Chlamydomonas reinhardtii: one gene and its partners. The protein of the gene in region 2 interacts with the protein of the main gene of each other region in a pairwise test. Links are inferred from orthologs where the notes say so. Each region holds a gene or a part of one and is shown on either strand. Other genes may lie near its edges.

Evidence for each region.
Region 1: the proteins of CHLRE_03g164550v5 (region 2) and CHLRE_04g232602v5 interact in a two-hybrid assay, tested with the Arabidopsis thaliana proteins (2 studies listed by BioGRID). The link is inferred for Chlamydomonas reinhardtii from reciprocal best matches to the Arabidopsis thaliana genes AT5G09830 and GRXS17.
Region 3: the proteins of CHLRE_03g164550v5 (region 2) and CHLRE_07g325600v5 interact in a two-hybrid assay, tested with the Arabidopsis thaliana proteins (2 studies listed by BioGRID). The link is inferred for Chlamydomonas reinhardtii from reciprocal best matches to the Arabidopsis thaliana genes AT5G09830 and GRX4.

Annotation. Positions count from the first base shown.
Region 1 is NC_057007.1:4,041,039-4,048,806, reverse strand, and holds CHLRE_04g232602v5 (uncharacterized protein), read right to left. Parts: upstream 5,102-7,768; 5' UTR 4,885-5,101; coding exon 4,822-4,884; intron 4,608-4,821; coding exon 4,506-4,607; intron 4,195-4,505; coding exon 4,120-4,194; intron 3,888-4,119; coding exon 3,678-3,887; intron 3,396-3,677; coding exon 3,312-3,395; intron 3,034-3,311; coding exon 2,947-3,033; intron 2,473-2,946; coding exon 2,337-2,472; intron 2,160-2,336; coding exon 2,035-2,159; intron 1,651-2,034; coding exon 1,576-1,650; intron 1,302-1,575; coding exon 1,206-1,301; intron 922-1,205; coding exon 838-921; intron 450-837; coding exon 420-449; 3' UTR 70-419; downstream 1-69. Other genes in the region: CHLRE_04g232502v5 (uncharacterized protein), read left to right, coding at 5,257-5,386, 5,668-5,784, 6,019-7,768. UniProt on the Arabidopsis thaliana protein: May only reduce GSH-thiol disulfides, but not protein disulfides. Participates probably to the maturation of iron-sulfur proteins and to the regulation of the redox state of the BOLA proteins.
Region 2 is NC_057006.1:3,073,011-3,079,141, reverse strand, and holds the end of CHLRE_03g164550v5 (uncharacterized protein), read right to left. Parts: coding exon 6,086-6,131; intron 3,183-6,085; coding exon 3,075-3,182; 3' UTR 1,941-3,074; downstream 1-1,940. Other genes in the region: CHLRE_03g164600v5 (uncharacterized protein), read left to right, coding at 191-655. UniProt on the Arabidopsis thaliana protein: May act either alone or in interaction with glutaredoxin as a redox-regulated transcriptional regulator, or as a factor regulating Fe-S cluster biogenesis. The GRXS17-BOLA2 heterodimer binds a labile, oxygen sensitive iron-sulfur cluster.
Region 3 is NC_057010.1:1,688,217-1,695,274, reverse strand, and holds CHLRE_07g325600v5 (uncharacterized protein), read right to left. Parts: upstream 4,424-7,058; 5' UTR 4,337-4,423; coding exon 4,288-4,336; intron 4,202-4,287; coding exon 4,041-4,201; intron 3,887-4,040; coding exon 3,823-3,886; intron 3,693-3,822; coding exon 3,604-3,692; intron 3,396-3,603; coding exon 3,273-3,395; 3' UTR 2,802-3,272; downstream 1-2,801. Other genes in the region: CHLRE_07g325650v5 (uncharacterized protein), read right to left, coding at 1,346-1,405, 1,543-1,634, 1,810-1,930, 2,053-2,196, 2,475-2,615; CHLRE_07g325550v5 (uncharacterized protein), read left to right, coding at 4,694-4,735, 4,943-5,016, 5,211-5,361, 5,694-5,768, 6,062-6,215, 6,384-6,475, 6,692-7,058.

The DNA of each region.
Region 1 (7,768 bases), on a different chromosome or scaffold from region 2:
GATGCGTAGACGTGCTTTGGCAGGCCCTGAGACACCTGAATCCGTTTGTGCTGTGGAGCAGAAAGCAGCTCTGCTGTCGCCTTGTTCACGAGCCGCAGCGTCAGAACCACCTCGTTTTGGGGCAAAAAGCCAGCGATGCGTTCCACAACTTCAGGGATCCAGACCTTGTGAGCGCTGCCATACTCTTCTTTTGCAGCGGAGCGCGTTCGGTAGGCGCGAGTGCGCTTTGGCGCGAACATGTTTCTAAAATCTGCCTTAACACGCCCGCTTTATCATAACACCACACTGTGAGCGTGCCTATAATGCACTGGTATATATGAATAGCAGATGCAACGCTGGTCGACCCAGCATGGACAAGATGATCAGCCACTCATGAATCTATGTAACCGAAGTGCCGTATAGTCCGCGCGCACACCGCCTCACGCCACATCCATGCGGTGAAGCATCTCCTGCAGGGGCAACGGAGGTGGGGTGCGCGATGGGGGTGGCGGCGAGGGGAGTCATCAATGCGTGTGCGTGTGTTGGAAAGCACGTGGAATGGGCGCACGCAGGATGCGCGTGTGTGCACATGTGGATACATGCGAGCTTGGGCTGTTGGGAGTGTCTTCGTGCCAACGCCAAAGCGGTTCAATATGCAAGTTTTCATGCTTCGTCCATTACACGACTGCAACCGTGAACAACACCCAATGTGATGGCATCAGAAGCGTTGAGCAGCCCCGTCGACAAGCCGCTGACTGTGACCTTTCCCCGCCTCTGAACATGCTGCCTCCTCCCTGACGCCACACCTGCACACCGCATCGTCTCCCCCCTGGTCCCCCCCCACACCCCACCTCTCACCTGCACTGTGCTGCCCAGCTCCCCCGCCGCCTTCATCTCCAGCACTATGTCACAGCCGCCCAGCAGCTCCCCACGCACATACAGCTGGGGGGTGGGGGTCCCAATAATCCCAACAAGAAAGCAGGAAGGTCATGTGTCAGGACACGCACGGGGAGAGTAGGTAGGGGCGGACGGGGCAAGAGGTGCAGGGGTTTCTGGAGGCACGGCGGCTCGCGCGTACGACAGGTACCTGCAGCCCCGTGGTACCGTACACCCCAGCGCCAGGCCCCGACCGCGGTCCACCAGCCTTTGGCCCACATCGGTTTCCCCAACGGTTCGGTCCGCAACAATTAATCCTACCACCGTCCCCACCCATCCCCCAAACCTACCTGCGGGTACGTGGGCCAGTTGCTGTACTCCTTGAGCCCCTGGCGCACCGCCTCGTCAGACAGGATGTCGAAGGCCCCGAAATCCACCGCCTCAGACTGCGGCGGGGCGGGGCGTTAGGGGGAGACATCATGATACTGCACAAACGATTTGGTGCTTGCGGTACACTGGTAAGCACCGAAAGTTACACCCGCGGTCACACACTCGGCGCCCAGAGCCCCAGCCCCCAGCCCCAGGCCACGTGAGGGCTCTAGCCTGCACTAGGCTGCACGTGCACACCAGCCCACCTGCGCGCCCTGTCCATCCCCCCGCTCGTTTTAGTTGGTTTTGGTTTAGTTTGGGCTGGTATTTACAACCCCCACCGCCCCCCACCTGCAGCGCCTCCACCACCTTCCTGCTGAAGCCGCAGCGGGGCTGCTCCGGACTGCCCTTCATGAACAGCATCACCTGGAGGAGGCGGCAAGGGGAGGGGCAGGGGGGCGGGGGGGGGGGGGGCGGGCGGGCGGGAGGGCGGCAGGGCGGGCGGGCGGGAGGAGGGGTTGGCAGACGTGTAGAGTGAAGTGCATGGGTCGGCGAGGAGGGCAGGGGTACGCAGTGAATACGGCAGTGTGTCGGCCGCCCCTCTGTCGCCTTCAGCCCCTAAGCAAACCAAGCAAGCCAATACCTGCAGTGCACCAGCTGTGCCTACTCAGCACCGCACCCCACAGCCCAAAGGCCCCAACGCCCCTTGGTTTTCTCCTCCTCCTCCCAACCCTCCCACCCCCAGCCCCCAGGTCGGGGTTGAGTTGGGTTTGTCGTAATCTAACCCTCCTCCCCAGCCGCTTCACTCACGGGCTTGGGTCCGGCCAGCAGCGCCTTGATGCGCTCCTGCACCGCACCCGCGTCCTCAGAGGAGGGGGCAGCGGCAGAGGGCGCGGCAGCAGCGGGGGCTGCAGCAGCGGGGGCTGCGGAGGACCCTGCGAGCATCAGGCGCGGCATCCCGTCCGGGCCACCACATGGTTTACCACTGGCAGTGGACCACAGGTCCTGCAGCTGGCTTCACGACAGCGAATAGCGCAAACCCGCGTCCATTCACCCACCCAGTCACCCACCCCGCTCCCCAGCCAACCCGCCCTACCCCTGTCCACCCCCACCTGCAGCCACGGCCGCCGCCGCCACCGCCTGGAAGTCCCGCCCCAGCTTGTCCCGCAGCAGCGCCTCCAGCTCGCCCGACCCCGCCATCTCCAGCACGATGTCGCAGCCGCCCACCAGCTCCCCCTTCACGTACAGCTGCGGGCCGGTAGCGCGTGGAGGTGGTGGAGGTGGCGGTTGTGGTTGTGGTGGTTGTGGTGGTTGTGGTGGTGGAGGGGTTGCGGTGGTGGTGGTGGTGGTGGTGGTGGAGGGGTTGCGGTGTTGGGTTAGGTGGGGGTTAGGGTGGTGTGGCGTAGGTAGGAGTGGGCAAGGGCGGAAGCGGCTGGCGTGGTTGAAAGGCGATTCCCGGTGTACCTTGAGCGTGACGCGGTGGGTGGGTGACCGCACAAGGACTGGAACTCGTCCGTCAACTTCCCCCCCGGTTATATTGCTTGCTCGTGAAACCACGGCATCCTCCCCCCCATGCTCCATATCCCCTCCGCGCATGCAGGTCGTGATGCTGAGCTCCCAAGGGTCCTCGGTTAGGTCCGGGCCTAGGCCCCCTTGCTTTCCCGCGCGCACGGCCAGAACAAACACCTCACCCCGCGCCCCTACAAACACACACACACACACCTGCGGGTATGTGGGCCAGTTGCTGTACTCCTTGAGCCCCTGGCGCACCGCCTCGTCAGACAGGATGTCCACCGACTTGAACGCCACCTGCAGGGGGGGAGGCGAGCGACACCACCAGGCGAGCGCGGCACGTGTTCACCACTGTGGCGTGATGGCCTTCAGGCAGCTGCCCCCGCGGCCCTACCACAGCACGTCCCCACGCGCTCCATCCCTATACCGTCTTCCCAAGCCACCCTCGTGATATCAACCAACAGCGCAAGCACCCCTACACCACCTACCACCACCTGCCCGCCCCTCCCCACCAGCACCCCACCCAGCACCCTCCACGCACACACACACACACGCGCACACCCTCATGCGCTCACCCCCAGCTTCTGCAGTGCCGCCACCACCTTGCTGCTGAAGCCGCAGCGGGGTGCCTCGCCCGAGCCCTTCATGAACAAGACCACCTGGGCAGGGAGGGGGGGGGGTCCAGGCATGACTCGTTAGGAGAAGGTGGGCGGAGGCATGGGGTCGTGATGAGACCTCGTGGGGCAGTTCAGAGGCACGGGGGAACCACCAAGCTGCACCGCGGTCGGGGCGGGGTGGCGGTGAAGCGCCGCCTGAGGCCGGACACGCGCCCGGGGACTCCCGTGCAGCGCCGCTGACCATCCTCCCTCCATCCCCATCCCCATCCTCCAGCCCATCTGCCCAGTACTCCCTCCTTCCCCTCCTCCCTCCCTTCCGCTCACCGGCCAGTTGCTGAGCAGGAAGGAGATGCGCCCGAACACAGCCGCCTTGTCTTCGGGGGCGGCGGCACCAGCACCGGCACCAGCGGCAGGCGTGGCGCCAGGCGCGGGTGCGGAGGTGGTGGCTGCCTGGCCCCCCCGTGCCAGTGCTGTGGCCTTGGCGGTGAGTGCGGGCGGGTCGGCCCCCTCTAGCCGGTCCACCACCGCACCAGACTGCAGGGGGGCGGGCCGGGGGGCCGGGGGGCCGGGGGGGGGGGGCGGCTGTCAGCCGGCGGTGCTGTCGCTTGTGCCCCTCGTCCCGTGCTGGCCATTGCCCCACCTGACTTGGAGGCCCCCTGGCCCATCCCTTGCGGCGCACCCGCGAACTAGGCTGCGTCCTAGCATCCTCCACATCCATCCAGCCCTCCCCTCTCCGCCCCTCCTCCCCCTCCACTCCCTCGCTGACCTTGAGGAACACAAAGTACGGCACGGTGGTGACGTCGTACTGCAGCGTCACGTCATCCACCACCTCAGCTTCCACCTGTGGGGATAATGTTTGTTTGTGTCAGGGGCAGGGTGGGTAAGCGGCCCAATCATGCGTGTAGGAGCGACTTGACGGTAAGGAGGTAGCGCTGTTACGTGTGTGGCGCTGGCCGCAAAGTCTGATTGCGCTCACCCGTCGCTCCCAACTACTCGCGCCGACGATGGGCCCGACATCTTCGTCCCCCCGCCCACCTTGCACCGTAACCCGCAACCAGCTCCATCGCCCCGCCGCCGGCGCACAACACGCCGCAGTGCGCCCTGGCTACTACGGCCGCACCCCTTCCCCAATCGCCCTCGCGCCGGCCTCACCCTCAAGCAGGCCAGTCCGGGCAGGTCTGCTGCGAGCTGCCCCAGCACTGCGTCCATGTGCTTGCAGGGCTCGCACCAGCTGGCCCAGAAGTACAGCACCGCCTGCGAGCCGCAGGAAGCAGGGGGGGGGGGGGGCGGGCGAACAGCAGGCAGCAACGTTGGCAAGGTGGAGAAGGGAGCCGCAGTGTCATTCCACATGAATGTCATCTTATCATTCTTCTTGTGCTGACATGACACGCGCGCGAAGCTCGTGGTAGAAGCTTCTGGCCGTCGCAACAACTCGTGGAAAGAATCTGCAGCGACGCAGCGTACGCACCGGCTTGCCCGAGCTCGCCACCGCCGCCACGTCTGCCGCAGACTTCACATCTTGAAGCGGCATATTTATGAGTTAGTAAGGACCTAAAACCACGGGAGGGGCGATCTGCGTTGATTCGCGCCGAAACAATACTTGACACAACTGTATAAATTCGATGTAGTTTGAGCACTCATTTAACAAGTGAAGGGGCGTGGTAAAGCTTCCTCCGGCGTGTGTCTGGCAGCGCTGCAAGGTCCCATGAGAAAATGGAATCAAAACTCAGAGAGCGAGCTTCCACAAACTTGTATCAATTGTCTATGCCTTAACAAGGTAGCATCCCTGTGAACCATACTACCCCGCGCATTCAAGGGAAAGCTGCTCCAGGCCTGTATGACAGGTCAAACCCGTGTTGTCGGCGTATGTTTGCGGCTATGATGAACATTTAGCATTCTGTAAATGGCGGCTGGGCCTTCAGCAGGCGTAGTTTCGCTGCTGCTCGGCGCAGGCCTCCTGCTGCTCTCCAGCTGCGCCGGCAAATATGTGCTGGGAAATGCACTTGGACAGCCATGGTGTGAAGCGTTTACAGGTAAGAACGGTGAAAGAAGCGAGGGGCGTCGGACTGGCGTGTGTGTGGGGGCAGCTCAGCTCCAGTTCCTTGAACGGGGCTGCGCTTTCTACACGGCTGCCCCCAATGCACACGTGACAATGCTTTGCGTGTTTTTCGTTTTACGGGCTGCTGGAATGCGCGGGAACGTGGGGTTTTGGGAGGCTCGGAAATGTGGACCCCGCGAAGCGGCACAGGCCGTCTGCGGCCAGCGAGCCCTTCAATCCTGTGGAAACTCAAAAAATACGAGCTTGTATCTGCAGCGGCGGCGCTGCTGTTCATCCTGCGTTGTGGAGGCCAGCGGAGCTCCGGCGGGACCTGCAACATCTCTTCCTCCGCTGGGCCCTCTTCGTCCGAGGTTCTGCTTGGCACGGCGCTGGGTGAGCGAGGTTTCCGTAGCAGCTTCTTCCTCGATCATCAACGGATGCAAGTAGTGCAGTACTACGGAAGCTCGTCGCACGAACTCGGGTTTGGGTTCTACGGAGGCCTGCTTTGCGGTCACAACAATGGTCTGTTTCCCGGCGCCTGGCACCGCGGCTTGCCTCAATCTTTCGTGCCCTGCTCTCGCTCTTAATCTCATGGACCTCACTTCGTGCGCCTGCTGCTCACCGCAGGCTGCCTGCTGGGCGGGGTCAGTGCGTACACGGGCGCCTGGACCACGCTGCTGGCGCTGGTGGCTGCGGCGGCAGTGCTCATTCATGCGCCGCCCTGCCCCCAGCGCTCAGCAGCCGCCCCCATAAGCCCCGGCCGCAGCCCCAAGGGCGGTGCGGGCACCCCCAAAGGTGGCCACTCAGCGTCCTCCGCTGCTGTTTCCTCCGATGCCTTACCCCCCGGCTGCGGCTCCGTGCCCAGTCTGGGTTTCTGGCAGCTGCTGCTGGCCGCGCTGTTCTTCACTGCACGAGCCGCCACTGCATCGGGAGCCGGGCTGGCGGGCTGCGCGGCGGCGGCCGCCAGCCACCTGGTGGCGCTGGTGGCGGCGGCGGAGCTGCTGGTGGCGCTGGCGCCGCCTGGCAGGACCAGCCCCACCGCTGGGAGCACAGGCAGTGGCGGCGCCGCTGCGGAGTTGGGTGGCGCCGTGGGCTCGGTGGCGGGGACGCCACGGCTGCACCGAAGCAGCTCGGGCGCGACCAGCCCCGTGTTCGGGGGCACGGTGCAGGCACACTTGAAGGAGCTGGGGCCGGGGCTGGCCTCGCCCTATTACTCCCTGAAGCGCAGTGCCAGCACCGGCGCCGCCTTCATGCTGGCAGGGGCGGGGGGGCAGCCATCCGCAGCGGCCACCGCAGCAGCAGCAGCAGCAGCCTTCGTGGCCGGGCCAGGCGACGGCAGCGGGCGGTCGGCTGCGCATGCCCTGCTGCCACTGCTGCCGCAGGTGAGCGAGGGCGACGACCTGCCGCAGGACGCCGCGTGTATCGTGGGCGTGGGGGCAGGGCAGGGATCTGGCCTGGGGGCGTCCAGTCACAACGTGCATCTACAGCACCAGCTGCAGCAGCGCCAGGGTCAGGGTCAGGGCCTGCAGCGCTCCGGGTCGACGGCCGACGCGGCTCTGGCCGGCACCACAGCAGGGCGGTGCAGCAGCATGCCGCACACGAAGGCGCGAGGGGCGCAGGAAGGTGCCGTGGACAGCCCCTGGCGCCGAGCGCAGTCGGCGCGGGTGTATGCTGGAGGCGCGCCGGACGGTGCTTCGGCACCTGTGCCTGCAGGCGCGGGCGCCGCCGCCTCGCCGGCACCAGGGCGCTCCCAGCCTCCGCAGGGGGCGGTGTCGCCGCTGCTGGGTCCGGTGGGCTTGGTGGATGGCGGCGGGGTGCGGGCCGGAGACTCGGCCGGGGCGCACATGTACCCGGGGGTGGCGGGCACTGCGGCTGTAGCAGCAGGCGGCACAGCGCCTGCCGCGGCTGGCGGCTCTCGCCGCACCCCGGCCGGCCTGCATTGCTGCAGCAGCCTCAACACCGACCCCGGCATGACCGACTGTGGAGCAGGGGCGGGCGGGCGCGGTGCTGCCCCTGCCCTTGCCCTGACCGTGGGCTCTCTGTCCGGCCCACACGACATGTCCGGGAGCGGCCTGCACGCGCTGGAGGCCGGGGTGGGGCCGGGTGTGGCGGCGGCCGCCAGTGCCGGCCTGCCGGGATGTCAGCCAGGGTCGCCTCACAACTACGTAGGCGTCGAAGCTGCAGGCGCACGTGCGGACACAGAGGCAGCGGCACGCAGAGTTGGCGGCACGAGTCAGCAGCCGCGGCCGGCGGCGGGCGCACCGCTGGTCCCCGTGTCCGAGCTGCTGCCCGAGGGCCGCGGCACGGGGGCTGCTGGCGGCGGCTCCCGCTACGGCCACGGACACGGCCGGGATGACTCGGGGTCGGGGTCGGGGTC
Region 2 (6,131 bases):
AAGCGCAGCAACTGGGTCTGGAGGGACAACAAAAACGGCAGTGTGCTTTTGGGCTGCGCGCGCAATTTCATCTCCCCGTAATAAACAGCAATTGGTGGGGCTGCCGCACACCCGTATCCTTCACGCCGCACCGAGCGGGACTCCGCCTCTAATCTTCCCTTCCCTTTCCTTATTTGTTGCTATCCTGCAGATGGCCATCAACAAACGTGACGCCAACAAGGTGGACGACAGGCACGACCCCCTTGCCCGCGGCTCGGTGGGCCTGGTGGAGGGCAAGCTGCTGGCCGCCAAGGTGGAGGAGGCGCAGGCCAAGGTCAACGCCGCCATCAAGCACGACCAGGCCACCAACCTGGGCCGCGCCTCGGCCAACCTGGGCCGCGTGTCCGCCAACCTCAAGCAGGCGGGTATGGCGCGCCACTCGGGCAACCCCAAGGGTGCGGACGTGGAAGGCGCCGCGCAGACGGTGGAGAACGTGCTGTTGCACCTGGACGAGGCGCGGGGCGAGCTGGACCCCAAGGTGCAGCAGGAGATTGCGCCCGCCATCGAGGGCGTGCGGGAGGCCGCGGAGAAGCTGGCTGCCAACACGGCGGCCGCGCTCGGGGGAGCCAACCCCGAGCAGACGCTGGCAAAGATTTCCTCGAAGCGGCACATGTAAGCGGCGGCAGCAGGAGCGGCTCTGCTGCGGCGGGTATGCTAGCGGCTTGCTGGCGCGCCGCGGCGAGGACAGGGCTTGTTGTGCGCGTGTATCGTGCTGGGGGGGGGGGAGTAAACGTAGCCCGGAAAGGGGTTGCGCAACACTTATGTTCCTACATCGCACCTCTGGAGCGGAGTGGAGACGGTTTGCTTACTAGTATACTTTTGCTCGCATGAGCAAGCGCCGCCCTTCCAACGTGTCCGGTTCTTACTGCATGCCGGGGTCTGGCTGTTGCCTACAAACTTTGCGACTGGAGGTTTTAACCAACTTGCATGCGTGTGATGAAAGGCCTTGGGGGGACGGTTTGAGTGACGATGCGTTCACCTCGGCGGTCAGGGTGAAATAGGCTCGATGAATACCTGAGCGTACGCAATCGACAGCAAACGGGGTTGGACGTGTTCCTTCAATGACCAGTGATTTTGTGAGTATGTATGTCGCCCATGAAACCTAGGAAAAGACACAAACCGCAGTGTGACCTGTGATTGTTTGGGGAGCTTGCTGTGGCGCCCCCTCCGACGCAATACTGACGTGTTTGATGATGGTGTGGCCCGCGAGGCAGTTGGAAACGCGTGTGCGTATTATGCCTTAAGCGCGAGGCCGTGTGATCACTCGATAGGGCAGTCGGCAGCTATATTAGCTGACGGCGGATGGTTCACAGGAGACCGCACGAACAGTGCACGGCCGCGTGTCTCACACCCACGTGCCGCAATCCGGACTGGTACGTGGCGCGGTCAACGCTAGTGCCCGTCACAAGTCTGCTTGGACAGATGAATGTGTGTGTATGTGTGCGTGTAGTGTTTGTCAAGTCAATGCTTAATGAACGGGCAGCGGACGAGACAGGAGGTTTGAGGAGTTGCCTTTAATAAGACAGGGACGGAGCACCCACAGGCTCGAGACAGGGATGCATCATGTTTAGGAGAAGCGAGGGCTACGCTTTGAACTCGCTGTAAAGCAATGGCATGAATACGAATCCCCTGACAAGCTCCAACCGGGAGCACAAGTTGGTCGCCAACGCACTGGGCTCCATGCGGGTGGGGCGCGGCGCCTGGACTGCGGCGGGAACCTGAAAGGCCGCGGATGCTGTAGTCTCAGACTCAACCGTCCCATTGCAAGGAACACAACCCCTGATCTCAGCTATCGGCTATCGTCTCATTCTCAACGTCCAGTTCAGCGCGCAGTCGCAGTTGTGCGAACGGGGTGGGAGTGGGGTGCGTGCGCCGTGCGGTCACTCACTTGGTCCCCACCGCCTTATTTGCCATTACAGCTCAGTAGCATACCTACTGCACGCATGGAGTTCTAAATCTAAAACAGTGCTCTTTTGTCAGACTCCGAACGGGTAGCGTTATCGAACTAAAACCTAGCAGCTTCCCACTCCCACGACCCGCCTTTTGGCCGCACGGGCGTTGAGGCCCAAGCGGAGCGCAACCCGGGTCACGTGGAGACTTCAGGCGGTTGTGATGCTGCTCCTGTTAAAGGCCAGCCGCGTAACCTGATCGATCCACACAGAGGCGGCGGTGGTTGCCACACGAGGCCCCGGTGCAACACGGCGACCAGGAGGTGCGGCGTCAGCCTTTGGGCCGCCGGCAGCCAGGCTGTTGACTGGGGCCCAGCTGGAGAGGGCGGGGCGTTGGGGCCAAAGGTCACCAGGGAAAAGATGTATTGTGTGCGTGTGCCGCGTGGGGCCGTGGGCCATGGCAGTGACCCTCACATGAAGAGGACAGGCGCGCAGTCGCGCAGCTCTCAGAACGTCACGCGTGCCGGAATCACCTCAGCAACACAACGACAACGCTGCCACCTGTAGCTGCGTAAGCGCTTGTGTGACATGGGTCCGACCGGGAAGCTTTATCACAACTGAGCACACATGAAGAACCAGCTTCCCACCACACGACCCGCATTTTGGCCTGGCGAAGGTGCCGGGGCCCAGCCGAGGCCCACCCCCGGTCACCCCAGCGACCGTCCCCCCTCCTCCCTCCTGTGCAATCAGCATCACACGCATTCTACTTATCACTCCACCTAATCCCTCTTGCATCCTGATCCCATGACGGTCTGACGAGATTCACAATGTCATATCGCACCCTTGCTCCAACGTAACTCCACACCCTTGCTCCAGCGGCCCTCCTTGCGGCAAGTGGGAAGCAAGACAGAAGACGCCACCCGCAATGCCCCCGCCCCAATACTGCCTGCCGGGCACGAAGGCATCCACTCGACCGTGCCAAGCAGCACCAAACTATAACGTAACGCCATGTCGCTTGCGCAGTCAGGGCACACTGCACACACCACACCAAGTTCCGATCACCCTCGTCCTCAACACAGCCACCATGCCGGTGCCAAGGCAGCGGCCAACACGGTGTGCGTCTATGGCCGTGGCAGTGCCGCCGCATCAACTGCTGGCAGGGGCCGCCGCCGCCGCCGCCTGCGCCGGCGTCTGTGCCTTCTTGATCGACAGCGCGTGGATGTGCGCCATCTCGGCCTTCAGGGCGTCATTCACCTGTGCAGGGGCCGCAGCGGGGGTGCGGTTGAGTACGGTATCAGACCAATGCACGGCGCACGGAATGGTAATGAGAGGCTTGTTAGGAGTGCGGGCACAGCTGCGTGCTCTGCTGCCAAGTGTGACTGGGGGTGGGCCTCGCTGGGCCCCGGCACCTTCCCCAGGCCAAAAAGCGGGTCGTGTGGTGGGAAGCTGGTTGTTCATGTGTGTTCAGTTGTGATAAAGCTTCCCGGTCGGACCCATGCCTCAGCTACACTTACGCAGCAATATGTATCGGCCTTGCCAAGCTGTTGCTGAGGTGATCCGGCACGCATGACGTTCCGAAAGCTGCGCGGCTGCGCGCCTGTCCTCCTCATGTGAGGGCATTGCCATGGCCCACGGCCCCACGCGGCACACACACACATTACACCTTTCCCCGCGGTTACCTTTGGCCCCAACGCCCCGCCCACTCCAGCTGGGCCCCAGTCAACAGCCTGGCCGCCGGCGGCCCAAAGGCTGACGCCGCACCTCCTTGTCGCCGTGTTGCACCCTTGGTCGCACCGGGGCCTCGTGTTGCAGTCACCGCCGGATCTTAATTTACGCGACTGGCCTGTCACAGAAGTAGCCTTACAACCGACTGAACAGGGCGAGTCTGTCTCAAGTCTCCACGTGACCGGGGGTGGGCCCCGCTTGGCCCCTAGTACCAATAGAGGCCAAAAGGCGGGTCGTGGGAGTGGGAAGCTGCTCGTTTTAACTTTGATAAAGCTTGCCGTTCGGACCCTGACAAAAGAGCAACGGTTAGCGCATCAGAGCATGCACGCAGTAGGTGTCCACAATTTGTCCAGATGTGGTAAGTCAGGCATGGCTACGAGGAGTGACCGCGTGTGACTCTTATCTCCGCCGTCCGCCCTGGGCCGTGGCTCACGACGCCACTGCCTTTGTCGCTAAAGCATAGTACAGTAAGGTGACTGGCACAGTTGCATCGCATTGCATTGCGCAGGAGCAGCATTACCAGTCCTCTCGAGTTGTAACTGTACAGGGCGTGCCATTCTCAAACCCCGAGTCTCCACGTGACCGGGGGTGGGCCCCACTCGGCCCCAAACGCCCATGAGGCCAAAAGGTGGGTCGTGGGAGTGGGCAGCTGTTCGTTTTGATAAGTTGATAAAGCTTCCCGTTCGGACCCATGCCAGGAGAGCAGTGGTTTAGAGTCCGAGTGCATGCCGATTGCTGACAGTAGGTAGGCGTGCTGATGTGACTACGCCGGGTGTAACGGGTCACGGCGGTGGCTGTTATACCCACGTCGGGACCGAGTGCAGTGCTCCGGCTGGGCCATCTTGAGAGGCGGCGAGGGGCACGCCGGCGCTGACCATGTCAGCCCAATGGCCCACCCCTGAAGTACACCGGCCTGCTGGCAACCCCTTGCCGTAAACATTTGACCTGGTGGAAGTGGGCTGCTAAGCGCCACTGCCCCAGTCCGCCTACACGGCTCCCCGTCCCGGCCCCAGAGCCGCACGCCCCTTCCCAGCAGCCCCATTTCCGGTGCCCATACCCCAATTCCCGCAGCCCCACACCGTGCCCCCGCCACCCCTGCCTACTAGCTGCAAACAATGCCTCCAGCAGCTCTCGTAGGCCGCGCTGAGCATCCGTAACATTTCTCTGCACTTATGTAACATTACGGTACTGGGTTCTGCGTCGCGTTTGGGAGGCAAGCATTGGCATTATTTGCAGTACGCCCATCCCCCTGCTCATCCCTTGCACCGACCAGCTGCTGAGGCTCCCCGGTAACTGAGGCTGCCACGAACTGGCAACCGGCGCCCGCACCACCCCCGGTCACTGATGCCGTCCCCACCCGCCTTTGCTCCGTCCTTCACTCCGCGCTGACTGCTCGGCAGCGCACACTGCCACAACCGGCTCCATTACCCGTGTCGGGTGCCAGCTACTCGCCATACGCTGGGTCTAGCTTAGCTATACGTCAGACGCCGGGTCTAGCTTCGCCGTTGGAAAATGCTGCAGTTGTGTGGGGTTGGTTGGGATTTTGGGAACGGGCGGGGCAGTCTTGACCCTCAAGTCTGGGTATGTGACCGGGGGTGGGCCCCGCTTGGCCTCCAGCGTCCACGAGGCCAAAAGGTGGGTCGTGGGAGTGGGAAGCTGTTCGTTTTCATAAGTTGATAAAGCTTCCCGTTCGGACCCATGTCAGAAGGGGAGTGGTTTGGAGCATCAGACCATGCACGCAGTAGGTGCGACGATGCGGCAAGGCGTGACTACGAGGAGCGACTGCCTGGGACTCTATCTCAGACTCAGGCCAGGGGGGACCTGACACGTACTCCAAGGGCAGTCACGGCAGCAAGGGACAGGTGGTTGTTGACTTGCTGTTCTTCAGTCCCCCCGGCAATAAGGCCCACACACACTGGCATCTGGCGCCCGCCCCACACCCGGTTGCTGATGACACGTAGCGCCCGGCCGCCATTGCCGCTTTCACGCCGCAGCTGTCCGGGTCTGGTTGGGATTGCATTGGATGGCCTGGAGAGGCCGGGTGTCAGGCGACCGGGGGTGGGCCCCGGCTGGGCCCGGCACCTCCCCCAGGCCAAAAAGCGGGTCGTGTGATGGGAAGCTGGTTGTCATGTGTGTTCTGTTGTGATAAAGCTTCCCGGTCGGACCCATGCCTCAGCTACGCTTGCGCAGCTATACGTATCGGCCTTGCCAAGCTGGTGCCAAGGTGCTGCCGGCGTAATACTTTGAATGCCCTTGCCGTAAACCTTTGACCTGGAAGTGGGCTGCTAAGCGCCACTGCCCCAGTCCGCCCACACGGCTCCCCGTCCCAGCCCCAGAGCCGCAGGCCCCTTCCCAGCAGCCCCATTTTCGGTGCCCATGCCCCAAATCCCGCAGCCCCTCACCGTGCCCCCGCCACCCCAGCAGCCACGCACCAGGCGGTGTCGCGCAATGAGCGTCTTGCCCTCGAACTGGGCCGAC
Region 3 (7,058 bases), on a different chromosome or scaffold from region 2:
TATAGGACTAGGGAGCGACAGCCGTGCTAGTCCGGGCCCATCCCCCGTTAGACTCTCTGCCATGTGTTGTGTGGACAGCGTGCATCGGCAGCGTTGTTACAGTGCATATGTGTTGGACGTGACGACGTGTGCGATGTGTCCCACGCCGAAACCCCCTGGACAAGGACATCATAAAAAACCTAAACGAGATGAGGGGTGTTACGTGGCGGTGGGGCTTTGGCGGGCTTCGGCTTGGCTTCGACTCATGTGCGTAACACTATGAAGGTCGGCAGCCAACCAGGGGGCGGGTGTTGTCTCTTTGGGTCGCATGGCCCCTCGCGGCGTGGGTATGGCGTGCGCGTGCCCCTGCTTGTCGGGCTGTCCCTTACTTGTAATCCGCATCCATAAGTTCCATAGGCTCTGGCCGGCGCTGCTCGATTCGGTGAGCTTTGAAAGGGCACCACACGGGCGCCTCCAGGCCTGGGCCAGGGGGGCGGCGACACGGCGCGTGCCTCATTTTAAACCGCACACCGCACTTCCAGCCAGCCAGCAACTTGTTGGTACAGTAGCTCCGGTATTCGACCAGCGCAAACTGTTTGCCATCTGCTGGGGTCTGGGCATTAGCTGCATCCTACGGGACTTCGCCAACCTGCCTTAACACTATCTCATCGCACACCAACTACATGTACAACAACACCATCTTTGCGCAGGATGCAAGGAAACGGGATTTCATTCGACGCGTCTGGAGATTGCGAATTACCGCGCATAGTCGAGTTCTTGGCAGAAGGATGGTGCCGAAGCCCGGCGCCCGACAAGCGCACCCCATGGGACCCCTCAGAGCTGTCGCTCTTACGGCGCGAGAGGGCGCTCAGCCAGCTGGGCACTTGCGCGCTCGTCTTAGGACGGGGCTCCGGAGCCAAAAAAGCAGCTATCAATACCGGTACACGCCACGCCATGCGTGCCTCCGTCCTTGTACCAGACTGCACGCTCTGGTGTTGCATCCACGCACGCGCCATAAGGAATGGGTGCGGTGCCCCTTCTTGTAATGTCCCATTCATGAAGAACAAGGGGACATATGAAACGACTACGCTTAACAAGTGCCAAACAACATCATGTCAAAGCTATTATGTGTACTGTACGGCTGGCACATACCGCACAGTACGAACATCAGAAACGTGCCCCAAATTCCTCCCCCACTGACGTCACCAACAACCTACACAACCCACCTTTGCCTCCGCAAACAGAGCGCCAACTCATCGCTCGCTGGATTGCGCTCGGCCTTGATGAGCCCACGCCCGAAAGGTGGCCGCCCTGTCTGGGCCGCCCACCAAGCAGATGCCGCCCGCAATCAGCCCATCGTGCCCATCTACACCATCTTGTGCTGCCCCAGGAACCGGTTGCACTTGGGACACGAGTGCGTGCAATCCTGCAGGCGGGCCGCGGGCATGGCCATGTTATACGTTCGAAGCCAAGACGGGCAAGGCGAGCAGCTAGGTCCCGCTGCGTGTCAGCCTAATGGGTGCGCAGCATGACCTCCGGTCGAAACTGTCAGCGACAACGTACCTTGCAGCTGTCAACGCAGAATGGGATAAGGCAGCATCCGAAACCGCAGCCCACCAAGCAGATGCCGCCCGCAATTAGCCACGTGCCCAGACCTGAGCGGGCAGCAGGCAAGGTGTTAAACCGCACAGTGCAGGCGGTTTCAAGACGGCAGCTGAGCGTGCACAGGTAATGCACAACCGCCTGCATCCCCTAGGCACCATTTACAACAGTGCACAGCCATTAAACGTGGAGCGCGCCGCGCACTCGGCTTGCCCCTCCCGCTCGCACCTGGCGCCCTGATTGCCACCGACTGGACCTTCTCCCGACAGCCCGGGCACGTGACCTCAATGGGGTAGGGCGGCCAGTATGATGGCAGCGACACGGGGCCCGCAGGTGCCGTCACGGCGACCTGAAGGGCGCGCGTACACATCAGCCTTCACAAACACGGAACTGCAGTCCTGCTTCCCCTTCTAGAACTCTAACGCCAACCCCGACCGGCCCTGGCGCACGGCCTCAGGTACATGGACTTGCCATCATCATGGTGCCAGGCGGGTAGGGCACATGTGCTGCCATGACAGGTTGGCCCGGCGCGGGATACAGATACCCAGACGGGCCGTAGGGCGGGCCAGGGGGAGCATACGGTCCTTGTGCAGGCGCGTAGCTGCCAGGAGGAGCCTACGGCGGGGGAAAGAGAGCCCGTTGCAGCCCGTGGTGATATTAAAGCGAACAAAAAAACCCAAGCCGAGTGCCGTCTGCCCTGCCGTGCCCCTGTGCCGGGGCCCACCGGCTACGGCACCCGCACCCACTGGCAGACCCCGGCTACCCTTGGCAGAAACCATCCCTACAGCACAATCGCTCGCACGACGCCAACATGAGAGGAACCGCGCTAGCTGCTGAAGGCCCTTGTCAACCAACTTTCCCAACGCCCGATACGAAGTCGACGCTGCACTCACAGGTGGTGGATACCCTGGGTATCCTTGAGGGTATGCGCCAGGTGGATAGGCTCCGTAGCTCGGCTGCGACGGGCCTGGCAACGTCTGCGCGTAACTATGCATTGCTGCAGCGGCAGCTGGCGGTGCGTCGCCTTGGCCCATTTGTGTTGACAGGTCTCTGGAGTTTTAAGGTTGGGCTCCTCAGGTCGAAGGCAATTATCAGCTTTGTCGATGGAGCATGCGTGTGCTAGCGGCCCAATTGCTGGCCTTTGTACTCATTCAATTGACCTACAGAGTTTGTATATCTACAAGCATCGCGGTTGTCAATGAGTTTGCGGGTCAGCTACCGTTCGGTTCATCGACGAGCATGAACCCACACGTTCACCAGGCCCCACAACCGCCACCCGACCCCCCCCCCCCCACCCAGCAACAACCTAAATGAAGTAGGCCCCCTTCCCACATCTCACTCTGCAGGTTCCTCCATCACGACAAGTAGAGCCCTCCAAATGACGAAAATGTCCGTGTTGCGCACCGGCCCTTTTAACACTTCATTCCACCCTGTTGGCAACAGTGACACCCCGTGAGCTCCCATGACCACCCGACGCCCCCTGCGACGTTGGACGCTGACCGTTGCCGCTGCTCCAAGCGATGTTGACGCATGCTTACCCACCAAGCTAAGCCACTCCAAGAGAAACACCGCAATATAAGCTCTGCCTCTCAGCCGCGTCCATCCATCACCCATCCAGGACTCCTCCCTCCTCCATGAAATCTCAGTCTGCTCCCCAGCTCCGCATGTTTCCATCAGCCCCTGCATCTCCATTACTTCTTAGCCGCGGCCGCCTGTTCCTTGCGAATGGGCTCGAGCAGCGGCTCCAGCTCGTTCTTGTCGTGCATGCCCATGAGGATGTCGCACCCGCCGATGAACTCGCCGTTGACAAAGACCTGTGGCATCGTCGGTTGATAACGTGTGTTTTGCGTGCACTGGGATGCTTTGCGTTCTGCGGCCCCGGCAAAACCCTGCTGCATCCAAGCTCCCGAAACGTGTCCACCAACCAATCCAAGCCAGGAGCTGCAAGGTATTGGAAACAGGCATGCAGTATGGCGCAGTGTCGTACTGATTGCAGAGCGGGGCAAGCGCACCCCTACGCACCTGAGGAATTGTGGGCCAGCTGGTGAACTTCTTAATACCCTCCCGCACCTCCGCGTCCGACAGCACATTGGTGGCGCCGAACTGAACACCTGCGAAGCGAAGAGCATGCGATTCAACCATCTTCCGTCGGTGCCGAAGTACGGTAGCACCGGCGTCAACAGTACATGCCACTGCAGCGCAACAAGCCAATGGAGCGTCTGACAATTGGTGCACACGTACCATATGCGTTCAGGACGACGCAGGCCATGCGGCTGAAGCCGCATTGGGGAGAATCGGGGGTGCCCTGCAGTGGATAGGAAGCAGTAGCAGCGGCCAGCGGAACGGGCGTGGTTAGGCCGGCGCTTTCCCCCTTGCCATCCTTGCATTGGATGCGCACCCCTCTACAATCCCCTGGCTTTACTCGGCAGAGTGGGGGAAATTGGGCCGCTAGGACGTGCCTTCATAAAGACGTGGACCTTGTCCTTGGCGATGGAAGCCTTAATTTGGTCGTCCACGCTCGCGGACGTGGCGGGGGCCGCATGCTTGGGCTTAAAGTCATCATGCGAGTCGGCATCGGTCGCAAGGCATCGTTGTAGCACCGCCGACGGGGAGAACGCAGCTGCAGTGCAACGCGTGGGTCATTCCCCAAATCGTTCTTTTCATTTAACCAGCATAATGGAGCTAATATGACATTGATATTAGTACCTGCTTGCCGTGCTTTCGAAAGCGAGCCGATAGCAACGCGAGCCAGCATTTTCTCACAATTCCAGCGAAGAGGAAGGCTTTGCTGCTTTAATACCGTTGCTAATGTTGCTAGCTTGGTTTGTAGGACTGTAGTCGGTAAGAACTTGGAAAGCTTTGAGGGGCTGTCAAGAATGCCCATCCTCATCATGCAAGTTTGGCAGTGATTTTCCAGGTTCCCGTGTCTGAACGGACTCCGTATCTAATACCTTCAAGCACATAAGCTGTTACCCGACGATATGCTGTGATAACAGGACCAGGGCTGGCGAACGCCTTTGACCCGGCAGAGTGTTGCACAGAATCGCGCTGTGACTTTGCTGCACATCTTTCTTGTTCCATCTAAAGCTCTTTCCAACAGATACCGGGTAATATGGCAGAACGACTGCGCAGCGCAATGTCGACACCCGCCGAGGTGGGCCGCAGTTTCTGCTTCTGTTTTATTAGCGAATGTGCCTGAGCCTGCACATACGCTGGGCTTGTGGAAGCCTCTGGGGGATATGCGGTACGGAGCGGCTGGCACCGCGCGGCGCGGCGCGCCTAGGCGGGAACGAGAACCAGGCGCTCAGCCAGGCGCTGTCAGCGGGTAACCGGACGGTGCATGTTCGCCAATCCGTGCCAGGTGCAAGCGGCGCCCCTGGATACCCGTGCGTACGAGCACTGGCGTGCTGCCGACACGCTTCGAGCGCCTTACAAGTATGAGCTAGGAGCAGGGCAGGGGCAGCTCAGGGAACAGGGACAGCAACAGGGGCAGCTCAGGGAACAGACACAGCAACAGGGAAGGCAAGAAGGGCCGGGCACCACTCGTACTGGCCAGCACGCGGGTGCTGCGTGCGCCGGGCATCGACCGCGTTGAATTGTCATGCCCATTGCTGTCTGCTGCATGACAGTGTGCCAACCGCGCTGCTGGAGCACATTCGCCCGGATGCCGTGGACGCCATCCACGAATGCCCGCTACTGTGCTTTGTGAACGCGCGCTCGGGTGGGCGGAAGGGCATGGAGCTAGCGCTGGCGCTGAGCCGAGCTATCGGCCGTGTGCAGGTGAGGACTGGGGAAACGCGCGTTGGCACAGCAGTTTCAGCCTGATTGTCTTCTGGTAGATGCGCGTGCGTGTGCTTGTGGCAACGGGTGGACGGCGAGTTGGACGGACCACTCATGGATAACGCGGTGGCAAGGGCGCACACCGGTTCAGGGCCACGCTGATTGTCGGCCTGCTCTAGAAAGGCTGCGGAGTAAAGGAGCACCTCCCACCTGCCTCGAATTTTGGTTCCGCGCCCCGCCGTGTAAGCGCGCGCCCCTACACAATGTTAAGTGCCCTGCGGTCCTTTTCCCAAACTGTTACTGCCCGCCACCGCTATCTCGCTGCGCCACAGGTGTTTGACATCGCTGAGAAGGACCAGCGGCCGGACCGGGTGTTGGGCCGTCTGTATGAGGTGCTCAGGACGCGGGTGAGGCTGGGGGCAGCGCCGTGGTCCTGGGTTGCTGTTGGATCACTGGGCGGTGGTAGCGGGCGCTCCTATGATGCTGGCTCAGCATGGCGTATCAGCTGAGAGAGGGCACGGCAGCTGGGCGGAGTGGGGCAAGGTAGGCCTTGCGGCGGCTGAGGTGGGGTTCAAGTCATGCGCAGGTAAGCTGGTGCACAGGCACCGAAAACCTACGTGCATGGCTGCTGTGACCGAAGGGACGCTGCGTAGGATGCATTGCCGCCCCTGACACACAGCCCTTGCGTGGGAACCCGCAGGAAGCTGCGGGCGATTCACAGGCGACTCTGGTGAGGCAGCGGCTGCGGTTGCTGGTGTGCGGCGGCGATGGCACCATTGCTTGGGTGATGGGCGTCATCAAGAAGCTCCGGTTGCAGCCGGAGCCACCCGTCGCCATGATCCCGCTCGGCACGGGTGAGTAATTAAGGTGGCGTCTGAACCGCACGGATGAGGAAAGGGCGGGTGGCGATGTTACAGTCATGTTTGGTCAGGCACCGTTCATGTGCCGACTTTTTGTCGTGCACTTATAACATCGCGCACGGTCAAGCATGTGTTGACGGCCGCCTTTCCTCTCCTCTCCAGGCAACGACCTGTCGCGCACCTTCATGTGGGGTCCCGCCTATGACCCCACGTGTATGAAGGGGCACAAGAAAACGTACAAGACCCTCAACTCGGTGAGTTTCTGTGGCGCCCCGTCGCCGGCTGGTATTACCGCATCCGCCACCGCCACGGCTGGACAAGTGGACATGCCCCGAATTGATTGGTCTGCGCAACCCAAGGGCGTCTTACTGCGGGGGGCATGAATCTTCATGCATGTTGCGCAATACCGCACATTGTTTCGCGCCACCCTGGCGCCACGTTCTGGTCTCCTCTGTCGCTTTCGCCCCCAGGTTGCTGTGGCGCGCGAGGACAAGCTGGACTGCTGGAACATCACTGTCACCACGCCCCACAAACACATGTTCGGCAACAGCATGCCGCACTCGCTCTCCCCGCCCCTGCCCCCGGCGCTGCCGCCCGCCGCCGCCGCGGCCGCGTCAGGCCTCATGACGCCGCCGCCGCGGCCCTCCGGCACCGCCGCGGCCGGCTCCGTTGCCAGCGCCGCCACCGGCACGCTCGGCCGCGGCCAGAGCTCGGGCCTACACCCCGCGGTGCAGGCCGCTCGCGACTCGCTCGTGGTTGCCGCCGGCGACCGCTCCGTCGCCGCCAGCGTCGCTGCCACCATGGGCAGCGCCACGCCGCTGCAGAACATCGCGACCA